2 linked regions of the Rhinolophus ferrumequinum genome follow. The protein of the gene in region 2 interacts with the protein of the main gene of each other region in a biochemical or structural test. Links are inferred from orthologs where the notes say so. Each region holds a gene or a part of one and is shown on either strand. Other genes may lie near its edges.

Region 1 (7,480 bases), on a different chromosome or scaffold from region 2:
GAGTCAGACACTGCAACCAGCAAAGTCTTCAGGCTGGAATCATCTCGGACCATCCTTCCTGTCTTGTGAAATGACAAAAAAAAAAGTGGAATGAGACGCCAGGTTCAAAAACTGCTGTTCCAGCCCTACGAAGCAATGAGTCCTCCTGCATCTCAGCTTTCCAACACCAGTCCTCATTTAATGCCCAAACAGAGCTGTGACTTCTCTGTGACTTGTCTGTGTTTTTAACCTGCTACAATTGATACCATTTTAAATCTCTCTCTCTCTCTCTCTCTCTCTCTCTCTCTCTCCCCAAGCCTCACAAAACCAGTCATGTGTCAGGGAGGTAGTCAGATACCTTCAACCACATTTCCTAACACACAAGCTTTGAAAATCTTGAATATGACTTCCAATCTCAAATATGATTTGATGTTGAAAAATTCAAGTTATACCCACAGTTTCAGGAGTACACACAGTGAGGCAGGACTGTACCTATAGTTAAAAAAGAGCAAAGTGAAAATATGGCACACACACAAAAGCATCAGGAAAATACGAGGCCCAGGCAGGAAGGAGACACGGATTCCAGTTCTGGAGAGCCTACTGTCTTGCCAGGGGATCTCGGCCTGATCACTGTCTTCTCTGGGCTTCAATATCCTCATCTAAAAGAAATGAGGGGTTTCGGCTATCTTGAAAATCTATTCCAGATGAAAATGCACTGATTCCTTGAAATAGCCAATATAAAGATGAACTGATAAATATGAATTTTGAAGATGCTTTTTCAGAGAGCCCTTTAGATTTCTTACTTTATAACATAGCCAAAAAACAAGAAATATAGAGAGTCTTCTTGCATTTCTACAGAACAAATTAGAGAGGAAGGAAACATCTGAATAGGGGACAAGTGTGGAGTGGCAATATGCTACTGAAATACAAGGAAGGATTGGGCAAGAAATAAATTTACCCAAGAAATTTTTCGCTGATTCAAAGCATAGCTAGCAACCACCACGAGACCAAAGCAAGAAAATTAATAATGCAATATAATAAAATATACACGTACTAAATTAAAAATAAGTGAAGATCAAGTATTTCTTTAGGGTAGACTTTGGTGCAAGAGAGCTTCAATTATGAGGCCTTTTTTTTTTTTTAATTTCAGAGACTGCTCTCCACGAATTTCCTTACAAGAACAGGGAGAAAGCAGTCATACACACTGTACCTTCATAATAATCCCATCTGGACACCCTGTAATGTTTACAAAACTCGTTCAGACATTAGCCAGGGGAAGCCCCAAACAATCCATGGGGCAGGTGGTTGTACACTCATCCTCCGAATGCCATTACCTGAGGACGGAGGGAGCTGGAGAGCCAGTCCAGCCCTGAATCCAGCCCTGAAGTCTGGCCCTGGAGCTTCTTCTGACACCTGACCTGATTCACTCTTCTCTGTTGCAGGTCACACTGCCTCCCAGGTCCTCAGGAGAGCCTGTTCAAAGCCTGCTGAGGACAACTGTGAAGGGACATGAGCACCCTCTGCTCCTCATCCTGCCTACTGGGCTGTATCGCTGCCCCAAGGCCGATGTTTCTGTTCCCAGACAATCATGTTTTCCTGAAAAGTTTTCCCTGAAACCAAGTTCCATCCTCAGACAATAACTCACTTCCCAGGTTTCAAACATCACCTCCTGAGGGATGCTCTCTGTATAAAACAAGCAACATTTTCATACACAGCAGGGTATCACCAAGGACCTTTCCACTGCGGGTTCAAGACCCGAACGGGCTCCTAGAAGGCTGTGAGGACGAACCCGCGGCCAGGACTGGGTGCTTCTGCTCTTTCACTTCTCTCCCTCAAGTTCCCTATCTGTGAAGTGGGACCGTCTCCCCGCTGCCCAGCCCCTCCCCCCAGCGGGAATACCACCAAGGGGGAACGGCGCTTTCAGAAAGCTCGGTCACCAAAACGCCAGGCGCAGCATTATCTGAAAAAGCGAAGCGAGAACACAGGGCGGTGGGGGGAGAGCCGGCGCCCACCAAGCACGAAATAAACCCCCAGGGAAGCGAGCGACTTCCCCGGGAAGAGGACGGTCCGCTGGAAGGACGCCGGCGAGTGGCCCCCTCTCCCCGGGTGGGAACTTTCCCCAAAAGCGGTGCCCTCGGCCCGGAGGCCCCGCGCCTCGACCTCCGCCCGGCGGCCCTGCCCGCTCCCCGGCCGCCGCCGCTGCCCTTCGGCCCGGCCCCTCGGGCCCTGCAGGCCGGGTTGGCCCCGCTCCGTGCCGGGCGCCCTCGGCACACACGCCCCCTCCGGCCGCTTCGGGCGGGAGAGCCGGGCCGGCCAGACGGGACCAGCTCCGGGAAGGGCGGGCCAGAGATGGCCTGGAGCCCGCGGGGGCTTCCACGGGAAAGCTCGGGCACCACGTAGCCCGCCGGCCGCCCTATGGTGCGGGGCAGCCGAGTAAGGGGCTCGGTCGCGAGGCAGGCCGGGTTCCCGCGAGCCCTCCAGGAGGGGGCTCCGAGGACTCCGGCCCTCGCCACCCCTCCGAACCCCGCAGGCGGGCACCGCGGGCAGGTGCCGGGGATGCCAGTCCCGCCCCGCCCTCCCTCCCTCCGGCTGGGCCCCCTGCTGCTCACCTGGCCCAAGCGACACAGCAGCAGCAACGGCGGCAGCGCCCAGCGAAGCCGGGGCAAGCGCCGAGGTGGCCGCGCCTCCCGCGCCGCCGGCTTCATGCCCCGCGCGCCCTGGAACGTGCCCGGGCCGCGCGAGTCGGGCCCCGCCGTGCGCCCGATCCCGGGCGCCCTGCTCACCGCCTCCAGCCGCCGCCTCCGCCTGCGCCTCCTCCAGCCAGTCCGCCTAGTCCCCGCTCCGCCCGCCCCGGGCTTCCCCGGGGACATGGCAGCGGCGGCGGCCACACGGCGGGGCCCGGCGCGGCGGCCGCGGGGGAGATACGTCCCTGGGCGAGCAGGGGCTTCGCGGGGCGGAGCAAGCGGCGCCCACCCCCTGTGCGCGGCGCCCGGATCGCGTCTCCCGCGGCCCCGGCGGCTCCCGCTGCCTCCTCCGCGCGTCATGCGGCTCCGGCTGCAGGGAGCCGCGGCGAGCGCTCCCGCCCTCCCTTCCCCTCCCCCTCTGAATATTCATCGCTTCCTCCCGCCCCGCCGGCCCGGCGGCGGCCGAGCCCCGCGGCCCCTCGCCGCCCTCCGCTGCAGCCCCCGCCCCCGCCCCGCGCGCGCCCTGGCAGCTCCCCTCCCGCGGGCAGAGGAAGCGCCCCCGCCTAGCCGCCCTCTCCGCCAGGCCCTCCCACATTCCTGGGACTTGGGACCCGGGACGCAGCTCCGCTACTCTCGCACCTCGAGCCCGCACCCCTCGGTACGGGCGCCCCAGCCTCGGGCCCGCTCCATGGCCTCGGGTTTGGGTCACCAGATATTAACCGAAATCCCTGCCGAGGGCACAGCCAGGCCGGCGTGAATACAGCAACCCCGCGAAGGCCTGGTTGACCCAGCTTGTGGGTGGGCTTTGGGTGCTTGAACCCCTATATTATAGGAGATATGTGTCGTGTTCTCCCCGCCCCCAGCGCCAAGCTAGGGAAGCAGAGAAGTGGCGTTGGAGCGGGTCCTGGGATTAGGACACCCGCTCTAGTATATGGTACACCTGGCTCTGCTAGTACTACTCGCTGTGTGATATCTTTTCCTCATCTGTGAAATAAAGGTCATACGAGTACCGGGCTAGAGAGACTTGAACTATCACATGAGATAATGAGAGGAAAAGTCCTAACCATCAGTCCTGACACAGAGTGGGCCTCAATAAACGTTAGCTCTTCTGGCAGCTTTCATCACATACTCAAAGAAGTCCAGGACCCTAAGGGGTTAAAGATTCCTGCAGATGTTACTATTATGCCCATTCACAGAGGAAGGAACTAAGGACCTGGGAGGCTGAGCCAGTTGCCCAAGGAAAAGTAATGAGAGATAAGGCCAAACCAAAGGGTGCTGGGGAGGGAGAGATGAATTCCAACCAGGGGGAGAGATGACACCTGAGCTGGGCTTTGAAGGATGGGTTGAATTTCACCAGGCAGATTGAGGGGGGCAACATGTCAGGAAGTGGGAGCAACAGGCAAAAAAATGGCAGATGGATGTTTCAGGCTTGGCCTTCTGAAAAACAGGGAGTGGGAGTTTGAGGGGGGCTCATATTTAGGGGAGACTTTGAAAGCCAGCATAACGAGTCTGAGCTGGATTCTATGTGCAGCCAGATGACCAACACTGCCTCCAGACACCACAGTAGCTCAGGTTCCCCATCTGGGCTATGGGGATGTACCTTCACTTAGAGGGTCTAAGTGGCTCCTACCAGACCACACACCCAAGTCAGCGGAGAAGGTAAGGAGACCTCAAGCTGTTGACTTCTACACCTTGCCATCATTTGTTTAAATATGATGGAATTATAATTCACAAGGAATTCTGATCTTTCTTGCCTCCTCTCCTTCTTGGGCAGAGACAGGTGGTTTGAAAGGCGTTCATATCCACGATGCCCAGAAGGAAGGAAAGGCAGTACGGCGGGTACTGCCATGTCTGCCCCGATACTCAGACCCTACAGACCCTATAGATCCATCCAGGCTTCCATGGCTTCTTGGCTTGGGTCTGCGAACCACTCTGTAAACTTCAGCGTGCACTTCTATTTTCTCCTAGATGAAATGTATACCAGTGCTGAAGTCTTGTTTGGAACCGGATTTCTCCACCACATGGTGATGAAAGAGAATAAACAGCCTTTTCAATAAAAGGAGTTAAGACCTGAATAGTAAACTACCTGTTCATAAACAGATCACACTGGATTAATGACCTAGATGAGAAAAGAAGTTAATCCCGGGAAGGTGTGGTGAAAACTCCCTGAGGGCAGGGATTGCGCCTGTCTCCCCATGGGTACCCGGCCTCACCTCACTCTGTGCCTTGCCCCTAGATATTTATGCCATCGCGTGCTTGTATAAATACATCCAGGGGTAACATGATATGAAAGTTCATTTTTCTGCCAGGATAAATTAAGGAAGAATCATTCACTTTGCAAAAAAATTGAGGCTAGATTTCAGTTTATAGGTCTCTTGCACAGATGCTACTTCCCCTGGAACTTCCCAGATGCCCCAATCGTGTGTTGGGTGCACTTCCCACTCCATGTGCTCCTAGCTCCCTGTGCAAAACGTATCTACCCGCAGTGTTGTAATTGCCTGTTTACTTGACCATCTTCCTCCCTGGACTCTAAGTAAGCCCCTTGAAGATGAGGCCTGCATCTTATCACTGCATGCCCGGCACATAACAGTCACTCCAACAATATTTATGTAGTTGAATTGAATACATTCCTCTGAATTGCAAACTAAGGTATTATATACATGCCAGTACACACACAAACACTCACAAACACACACACACACACACACACACCCCAAATTCCATTTGCAAACAGCTTTTCAGGGATAAATCTACTGTGCAAAGTTCAGGGCACATTGTCTTTGAGAATATATAATAATATTTGGCCTTTTAATCATGTCCACCTTCAGCAAAAGCTAGATCTTTTACGGAATGTAGGACCAAGTGCATAAAAAACAAAAGAGCCAAACCAAGAGGTTGGAGTGGAAGGTTCCTGGACGTGTTCCAAAAGTGCCTGACGGGAATCACCTGGTGCCTTGTTGTAATACAGATTCCCATGCCTTTCCATAGACTGTGGAGGATAAGGCCTGGGAATCTGTATCTTTAACCAGCTCCTTGGGTCATTCTTGCTGTCAAGCAAGATTGGAAAACACTGTTCATGCCATGACTGGCCTGCATTGTGTCCCTAGCAGCAACAAAGACCATTGATAAGGTACCCAGGTGCCCGGCACTACACTAGATACTTTACATCCATTATTTCTACTCCTTACAACAACCCTGTAGAATAGGTATCATTATATCAACATTTTACAAACAAGAAAACTGAGGCTCAGAGAGTTTTAGTTACTGACACAAGGTCACACAGCTTAAGAGTGGCAAAACCGGGATGAAACCATGTCTTTCTTGCCATTTTGCCATAGGGACCCCCACCTGACATTTGTAGATAAGTTTGTATAAAGTCCTCTATGTATTGGCTGTTATTATTACCTTTATTATTACTCTCCTGAGCCTCAGTTTTCCCAATTTTAAAATGGGAAGGGACAGAGGGTACAAGACTTTCTACTTCATTGTCCAAGAACTGGGAACAGGCAAGCAGCCATGTTTAATGGCACGTCCACCATCCCACCAGGAGGTAAACCTTGAGGCACCAGCCTGGAACCAGGTCACCAGCCCCACAGGGAGTCCATTCAGCTTGGCAACCCTCAGTTTATTTTAAAAGCCACCATTAGCAAACCATTCTCCAAAGTCCTCCTAAGCAGAATGGAATGTTTCTTGGGAGTCTGATTAGCTAATGTTGCAGGCATGGCTGCCCTGAGACCTTCCTGCCTCACAGATTTGAACTGAATCAGAATGAAAAGGAAGACTTTTAGAAAGTTCTTTAAAAAAAAAAAAAATAGCACTTCATCTTTATAATAGTAACAGGATGTTTCCTGTGGACTAATAACTGGGCTGTGGTTAGAGTTCCATGTTTGTCCACCAGACCTCAGTTCCTCCCTAAACAGAGCCTTAATCACCTGCCCTGCAGAGTCAGGGAGTGTCTTAGCTGTGCCTTTCCAGTTTCTTTCTTTAAACACTTGCAACATTAAGCATTTTCCTAATTTGTATGGGTGTGTGTGTGTGTGTGTGTGTGTGTGTGTGTGTGTGTGAGATAGGAAAGAGTTTGACTTACAAAGAAACAGTGGCATGTGACAGATTTTCAGTGCAGGAAAGAAAGCCCATTATTGTAGCCAACTCAGGGTCTGGAGAACAGAAACAGAACCATTGCCCTCAGAAGTCCCCACCCTTTCTCCAAGTTTAGGCGCCCACAGGGATGAGCCCACTGGCCGCTGTGCTCACGGCTGTTAGGTAGGTCTGCAGTCAAGGTCCCAGTGAACATGCAGGTACCTTCGTGTTCTGGCAGGACAGACCCAGGACCTCTGTCATAGGGCACCTGGAAACACAGGGAGTACGTGACAAAGAGACTTGGGTCCTAGGGGACAAGGGGCTTTTGTCCAGGGCTTGAGAATGACTTCTGCACAAAGACCAGAAGTGGCAAGAGGAGGAACAGGAGGCAGTCAAGCCTGCAACAGAAACATCACCTCGAACAAAGAAACGGCTGAGAGGTGTAAGGACAAGAGGGAGAGTTAGCAGGAGGCCCGGAGTCCCAGGGCTTCTCGGCGGCTGAGTCCTTCCAGGCTTGTTAAAAATAAATTAATTTTGTTCAGGTTGAAAAGAAATGTTGTTTTTTTTTTTTCAGGTTGAAAAAAAAAATCTTAATCACATTGTGCTGGATATATAGACCACCTGGGTAAGAAATTAGGGTAAGACATCAACTTGCAACGATTGTGTAGTGGAATCTCACTAGTAGGGAAGAACATACCCTGCAATCTAAATAAGCAAATAAAAAATCATATGTGGCA
Region 2 (7,950 bases):
GGAAGTGAGCCTTTAGAATACGCACGTTGGCCAGGCCCCTTCCATGGGCATGGTCCTTTACGGGTTGCAGACCAATTTCACAGCCAAGTGTCCTGTGCAGGAGGCGGGAGAGCAGCGGCCCTCTCTTAGCCAATGGTATCAGGTCCTGTCTGTGAAATGCAGGGACTGTGCTAAGCGTCTGACCTACCCTGTTATCTCATGGGACCCACATATCGCCCTGCCGCTCACGGAGCTGAGAGCTGATGCCCAGAGGAGCAGAGCAGTAGCCCAGGGTCACACAGTCAGGCAGAAGTCAACTCGGGGGTTAACGCATGGCCAACTGACACTCAGACCTGGTGTTGTTTACCCACGGTGCCCACTGCCCTCCAGATGCGGAGGCAGCCCAGAAAGAACAAGTGGGGGTCTGAGGCTGGCCACACAGTGGATTTGAATTAAGCCAGGGCAAGCGCCAGCTCTCCTGACTCTGAATCCACGGTGCTTTCCACTGCCCCACATCTGTGGGCAATTACAAGTCTCAACTCTTCTTCCCACAGAGGAGGGAGGGCTGCCTGAGCATGGGGGAGGGGAGGATGCGGACCAGGTGGGTTTCTTCCCCACTCCAGACGGAGCCAGGGTCGGGCAGACCCAGGAGCAGGTCAGGCTGCTGCTGAACCTTCTGCTTCGGACCATGCTAGAGGCAGGCGCAGGCTATGTGGGCGGATGGAGATATGCTCCCCTAGGACCAGGCAGACCGGGGGCCTAAATACCACCTCTACTGTGTGACCCTGGGAAAGTCACTTAGCTTCTCTGAGCCTCTGTTTTTTTGTCTGCAAAGCAGGGGGAATCATGCTGATTCCAAAGAGCTGCTGTGGGGATTCCAAGGCATGTGAGGTCCCAGGCTCTGCACCTGGCACAGAGTCAGCACTCAGTGACAATGACCAACAAGTGTCGTGGATTCGGGGACCTCCAGATTGGAGGCAGGGGAGGACTCTTAACTTCAGAAGATCACGCTAGAGGCCTCTGTGCACCTTGGGATCACAGAGGCAGGCAGGGACACTCTTCCCTGTTTGACATAAAAAAATGCATTCAGGAAGAACCGCACGATGTTCTGGAAGGGCCTCTGAGGGAAGACAGAAGGCCTGGGTTCTCGTCTCACACTTGGGAACAGAAAGTCCTCAGTGAGTCCCTCCTCCCTTTCCCCAGCACATTTTCTCAGCCCTATTGCCCACCTGGGGAAATTGGGGACAGAACACAAGATGGGGAAGCTAGGGGCCTGATCAACCACTGATGTGCAAACAGAACACGACTAGCAAGACAGGGCCAAGCAACAAGCCTCCAGCACAAAGGGCACAGCGAGCACTTGGAGAACCTGGGAGGCTGCTTGGAGGAGGTGAAATAGGGAGAATCCTTGAAGGGAAAGTGGAAGTGATGAGGAAGAACGAGTCCACAGACAGGATTATGCAAATTCCTTCTGGGAATCCTGGGCTCTGACTGGAAGGAATAGGACCACAGGACCAAGTGTGGAGTGATGGGGCAAGGAGAGCACTACCTCCCCATGCTTTGCCACTTCCTTCCTGTGTGGGACAGTTTTGTGGCTGCTGTGAGCCTCAGTTTCCCCACCCATAAGGCAGGCGTAAAATCAGTCCCTGCCTCTGGAGTTGCTGGTGAGTGGTACGCGAAATCACACTTACAAAGCTCTCCACACCGTCCTGGCATGCAGTAAGTGTCAATCAGTGGCAGCGCGGTTAGGAGTTTGGGCTTTCTACTTGGGAGAGTCACAGAAAGAATCCTGGTCCAATTCATGTTTTAGGATAGAGTGGAGAAGGGGCAGCGTCCAGAAGGAAGGAGACAGCCAGGAGGCCTGAGCAGCTGCCTGGGACCAGGAGAAAGGGCCCAGCGGCCCACCCCCCTTCTTCACAGAGGGGCCCCCAGATCTGATGGCCAGCAGGGTCCAAGACCCCCAGCCCTAGTTGCCTGAACATGGCCTGCCAAGTGCCAGCCCCCTCGCCTTTGCACTTTCCCAGCCGCTGGGGGTTTGGAAGGACATCTTAGGAATCTGGAAAATTTGCAAATCCATTTAAATCCCCAGAGGTTGCCTGGCGGCCACTGGCCTAGAGCCAGACAGATTCGTAGGGACAAGGCTTAGGTCCAGGGACAGGGGTTATGGCTCTGAGGTTCCCTGGCCCCTGCTAGATCCCGTTCTGGTGTGCCCTGCTTGCCATCTCCCAATTTCCTTCTCATGCTCCTCCCTACTCGCCCCATCCCCCATAGGCACTGCTGTGCTTTGGAGGCCCCCACTCAGCACCCAGAAACCTCTGGGGTTTGTTTGATGAGGGCAGGGGGCAGCAGGGTTGAGGAGGCTGGGGCCACCCTCCCCAGACGCGGACTGAGCACGAGAGAGGAAAAATCTAGTCCCTCCAGCGCCGCTGATGTCCCCCGCCCATAGCCTCCAGCCTCCTCCCATCTGGTTTTGTTAAAAATATTTTCCATTTTTGACCTATCCAAGAAGGCACAGGCTGGAGTTGGGGACAGGACAAGGAGTTGGGGATCACCCCTCTACAAGCACTTACCTTGCTGCTGATACCTTTTGATGTGCACAAGGTCCCGGGCTCTGGGCTGTCACCCCCTCCAGGAAGTCCTCCTCACTGCCTCTCCTGTTATCAGAGAGTCTTTGCCGGCCCGAAATGGGGGCAACAGCTAGATAGGAGAGCAGAAAGGACCGTGGTAGGTTCCCGGAGCCTTGGGAGAGGGGAGGAAGTGGGGGGCTGCAGGGGTGAGGAGTGGCCTCACGCCCAAGGCATCCTTCGGGAGGAGCAGGGTTGCCAGGAGGGGCCGCCCTGGGTCTGGCTGTCTGTGTCGCTCCGCACTGGCTGCTGCCCTGCAGTGCTGGTCAGAGCGGCCCCAGCGCTTTCCTTCTCGTCCTCCTCCTCTCCCACTCCAAGTTGCTCAGAGAGCGATCCTGGGTCCCAGACGGGGCGGGCGGGCAGGGACTGCGGGCTTCTGGCAGCCCCCAACGCTCACACCACTGCCGGCTTCCCTGCCCCCCCTACTTTGGGGGAAAGGCTGCAGGGCAGCCTCTGATTGGCCCAGCTGAGAGAAGGGGGGCGGTGGGGCGGGGAGGGTGGACGCGTGCGTCTGTTTTCAATTTCAGCTTTTTTCCCTCTCTCTTTCTTTCCCCCCAAGTTTCTTGTTTTTCTTCCTCTTTTCCCTCTGCTTGCTCCCTCCCGTCGCCTGCTCTCTCAGGATGTGAGGGGATGTTTAGAAATTCCACAGCCCACGCCAGACGCTGAGTCACTTTTATTAAAGAGTGCCCCAGCCCCACTCCACTGATGCCCATCTCAGGTAGCAGCCTCCACTTACCGTGGCACCTGGGAGCAGGTCCCTTCTCTGTGCCTCAGTTTCTCCATCTGTAAGGGGAGGTCTGATCCCTTATACAGTTGATTCAGTCAACATTCATTCATTGAACAGCATGTTGAGCACCTACTAGACACTGCACTGGGTGTTGGGGATGCAGAGTGAGTAAGACACAGTCCCTGACCTCACAAGTGCCCAGGCCGGTGGGAGAGACAGACGGTGCACAGGTAGGCACTTGAGAGGAGGCAGGCATCTGAGAGTGGAGCTAGAGGGTCAGCTGACTGAGGGTGGAGGGAATCAGAGAGGACTTCTGAGAAGAGCTGACTTAGAAGAGATGGAAAGACCTTCCAAGATTATCAGCCACTTCGCAGAAGAAGAAACCAAGGCCCAGCGGTGAACTGGTTCAGAGAGGAAAAGAGACTTGCCCAAGGTCACTAAGCATACTTCAGGTTTCCAGACATATCCCTTTCTATCATCTTAAAGCCCCTGGAACCCCAGGAAAGGGTTATTTCCCCATTTTATAGATGAGGCGATTGAAGCCCAGAGGAGTGAAATGAGTTTCCCAAGCTCACACAGCAATGTCAGAATTGGAGCAGAATTGGGTCTCACGTGTGGCACGGTGGAACAGACAAGGGAAGGACCACATTACAGTATAGACTGGCCCTGCTATCCTGCCTTCTTCCTAGGTTATCCCTTTTCCCGTCTCTCATTCAGTCACTCAACAGGTGTTTCCGAGTACCTGTTAGGGTCCATTTCTACCCTCCTGCCCTCCCTCCCCACCAGGATCTCCTCCAGGACCCCGGCCAGACCCTCATCCCTCACTCCACCCCTCCTCATGTCCTCAGATCAAAAGGTGTCGCTAGCCACAAACTCTTGGCCCCTACACGCCACACAGCATCATTTTAAAAGGACTTAAGAGTGGTGAGTTACCCCTGGCTCCCACTACTGTACACACGGGAAACTGAGTCCCAGAGAGGGACAGAAAGGTATCCCAGGTCACATGGACAGAGCCTGACTCTTCTCAGGGCTCCTTCCATCCTGCCCTCTGCTCTTCTGTCTTTGCCCTTCTTTGCCTCTATCTTTGCCTCCCCCAGGGCCTTGTTCACAGGGCAGGGGGTTTGCTTGAGCTGGGATTTCATGCTAACCACAGTAACCTCTCTTGGCAGTCATTTCTTGGTCTTGTCCTGGGGACTGCACAGCAGAGCAACTGGGCTGGGCCACACAGAGGGATAACGGTTCTCAGACTGGCCCCAGAGCAAGGGGTGGGGGCCATGAGAGCCTCCCAAAAGAGGGGCTGGCCCAGCTTGGTAGCAGCAAAGTCATAGGGGAATACGGGGGACTCCGAACCCAGAGGGTCAGGCCATATAGGGATTTCTTGTGCCCAAAACTCCTTTGGTGTTTATAAGTCCCTTCCTAGCATTTGCTTTGGTCATTCACCTCCAAAGTCTTGGCCCAACTGCTGGGACTAAGACAGCTCTGTGACAGCAAGGAGGCATTGCAATCCCTAGTCCTTCCAAAAGCTAGTCTGGGAGTCAGGAGACCCAGCTGTGGACTTGTTGTGTGGCCTTGGATAGGTATTTGTCCTCCCTGAGCCTCAGTTTCCCCATCCCCATAACACATGGGAGGATTCACTGTGCTGGAAGGCCCTTGGGATGCTCTGTCTGCAAGTTCCTTAGAGTTGGACTCTGGCTAGGAAGAGGAGGCTGGTGGGCCCCAGGGCAAGGGGACAGCTGGGGGCCAGAGATGCAGCAGAGGGGCGGGGGTGGCTGGTGGTGGCTCCCCCGGGAAGCTGGCGGCCGCCAGTTTCCGGCCAGCCCAATCTTCCGGCTGGCCCATCTGGAATCACTTAGCCCCTACTACCATTAACCCTTGGCAGACACCAGTGCTGTTACACCTCCTTTTAGCTGAGATGGGGCTGGGGGGGTGCAGAGCCATGTGGAACACAACAGGGCATTCTCCGAGGGCGGGACGGGTGAGACAGAAGGGTCATGACTGACAGGGCAGGTTTGAGAACCAGAGACAGAGCTGGGTTCAAATCCTAGCTTCTGTAGTTCCAAGCTACGTGACCTTGGGCAAGTAAGTCATTTAAGCTTCTGAGCCTCAGTTTTCTCCTCTGGAAAATGGATAATTTGAGGAATGATTCGTAGAACTGTTGCCATATGTAATGCACTTAAAGGGCTTACTCAGTACAGTGTCTGGAAGTGTAGGATTGAAATAGTGGGTTTCATTCCAGCAGCACCCCATCACTGTGTGCCCCTGGGCTGAGCCCTCCTTCTCTGGACCTCATTTCCCCCTGTGCACTTTGAAGGGGTGGGCAGTGGGCAGTGCAGCACCTCTGCTCTGGCATGGCCAGGAGGAGCCATGAACAGTCTCCCACCTGCCCAGATGCCGGGAGCCTGGTCCGGCCTCAAACAATCCTGTGTTGGAGGAGGCTGGGCTGAGAGTGGGTGGGCATGGCGTGGAGTGTGGGAGTCCTGCCTGACGTAGAGTGGGATATGGTGCAGAGGCAGAGCGGAGCTCTGTGCCTTGGGGTCCAGCACTTCCTCCCCACTGTGTAGCGGCACGTTCAAGCTGAGCTCTGATGTCTGTAGTTCCGACCCAGCTCTGCCTCTTCCTCGCTGTGGGTCCTGGACAAATTACATGATCTGAGCTCTCTCAGCCTCAGTGTTTTCAGCTATAAAATGGGGATACATGTGCTTACCTCACAGAGTTGTTGAGAGGCCTAAATAAGTGATGCACAGAAGGCATTTTATACAAGGAATGCAGCAGAGCAAAAAGATCCACAACAGGTGACGGAGTCTCAGGTGTCTCTGGGAGCCGCTGTCATAGCAGCCCTCCATCAGGGCAGGAGGAAAGCTCAGCCCACCCCTCATTGTACAGCCAGGATGACTGAGGCCCAGTGATGGAAAATGACTGCAAGACCAGGACTGGAACTGAAGTTTTTGTCTAGACTCTCAGGCCCATGCGCTTCCTGAAGGAGGGAACCAGGCTGAACGAAACCACCCCCCAGCCCCCCACCCACGCCTGACAGAGCCGGAAGCCACAGTTCTCAGTGGGGTGGGTGTGGGGGGAGAAGGGGTCCTGAAAGGGCGCCTGAGTGGGAGAATTCCCAGTAGGCCGGCTCAGTTCTCACTCAGGCAGGGCCAGCGGCCACCACATCTGGCTCTCCCACGCTCCCGGGACTGGCCCCTCCACCCCCAGGCTCCCCAGGCTCAGGCCGAGGAAGCAGCACACGTCTACCCAGGCACCATCAGCACAGTCATGGTCAGAAGAGTCCTAAGAGTGAGTTCATTATACAGGCATGGAAACTGAGGCCTAGGGAACAGAGGGGACTTGCCCAAGGTTAGCAGAGAGAGAAAAGTTAGCAGGACTCCTGGCCCCCAGCTCAGTATCCTTCCACCCTGTACACCCTGAGCAGGTAGGTCCTTGTACTTGCAGCCGGGGAGCTAGAAGAGGCCCACAGTGGGAATTGCCCTTCCCCTCCTGGACACTCAGCATAGTGGCTGGTTGTCGAGTTGGGCAGAGGGACTAATGCGGGCCTTTAGGCCACATTCCTGCCCTAGATAACTAGGACTGCTCTTACTGGACCAGACTGTGCCACCAAGACCTGACAGGGTCTCAGGAGATAAGGGCTTCGAGACTCTACCTACCTCGGCCTGTCCCCAGCCTCCAGCTGGCCTCAGCCTCAGCGCCCCAGGGAACACAGCCTCAGTGCCCCTTCTGGTACACAGATGGCTCAAGGATCATCACAACAGCAGGACCCTCTGAAGCCACAAATCTCTCCACACCAGACACACTGGGTCCCAGAGAAGGCCAGAACTTGCTCAGGAGCACATAGCAAGTCTGGAATGAGGCCTCTGACGCTGACTCCCAGGCCGTCCTGTTCTTGGCACCATTTCTCCACGCAGCAGAAGTTCACTGAGCACCTACTATGGGCCCTGCCCTGCTAGAGCTCACAAGCAAACACCAAGGAAACCACAAATGAATAATAACAAATTGTGATATATCACGAAAGGAAGAGAACAATGGGCTGGGTAGATGGGCATTCTTGTTTAGGTAGACTAAGGCTTCTCTAGGGAAGGACTACTTCTACTGACACCCCAGGTTAAGAGGCCACACACAATGCTGGGACAGGAACAGTGTTCTAGGTAAAGGAAAGAGCATCTGCAAAAGAGTGGAGGCCAGAAAGAGCTTGGTGTGCTTGAACAGAAAGAAAAGAATGGTTGAAGCCCAGAGAGGGGACATGGTGGGGTACAGGCAGGAGAGGTAGTCAGGGGCCAGGTGTCAGGGCCTGTGGGCCCAAGAGGACTCTGGCTTTTATTTGGAGGGTCGGGAGGGACCACTCCAGCATTTTGAACAGGTGACTAATGAGATCAGGTCACTGAGGTGGAGAACGGGCTAACAGGGGCAACACTCTCCATCTGAGAGTCTACAGGAATGCACCTGACAGGGAGCTGGAACTTCCGGGCCCCAGCCCGTGCTCGACCACTGACTCACTGTGTGACTTTCCTTTCCTTCCCTGGATTCTCTATCTCCTGTCAGACACAGTGCTTCTTTGGATAATTACATTTTGTCCCCTCTGCTCCCTAAGCGGCAGTGTGCAAGTGTGTGGGGTGG

The links.
Region 1: of the proteins of PDGFRB (region 2) and PTPRJ, one has a biochemical effect on the other in vitro, tested with the Homo sapiens proteins (2 studies listed by IntAct). The link is inferred for Rhinolophus ferrumequinum from reciprocal best matches to the Homo sapiens genes PDGFRB and PTPRJ.

What each region holds. Positions count from the first base shown.
Region 1 is NC_046294.1:13,428,294-13,435,773, forward strand, and holds the start of PTPRJ (receptor-type tyrosine-protein phosphatase eta), read right to left. Parts: upstream 3,016-7,480; 5' UTR 2,850-3,015; coding exon 2,589-2,849; intron 1-2,588. UniProt on the Homo sapiens protein: Tyrosine phosphatase which dephosphorylates or contributes to the dephosphorylation of CTNND1, FLT3, PDGFRB, MET, KDR, LYN, SRC, MAPK1, MAPK3, EGFR, TJP1, OCLN, PIK3R1 and PIK3R2. Plays a role in cell adhesion, migration, proliferation and differentiation.
Region 2 is NC_046307.1:22,396,376-22,404,325, forward strand, and holds the start of PDGFRB (platelet-derived growth factor receptor beta), read right to left. Parts: upstream 3,011-7,950; 5' UTR 2,550-3,010; intron 150-2,549; 5' UTR 1-149. UniProt on the Homo sapiens protein: Tyrosine-protein kinase that acts as a cell-surface receptor for homodimeric PDGFB and PDGFD and for heterodimers formed by PDGFA and PDGFB, and plays an essential role in the regulation of embryonic development, cell proliferation, survival, differentiation, chemotaxis and migration.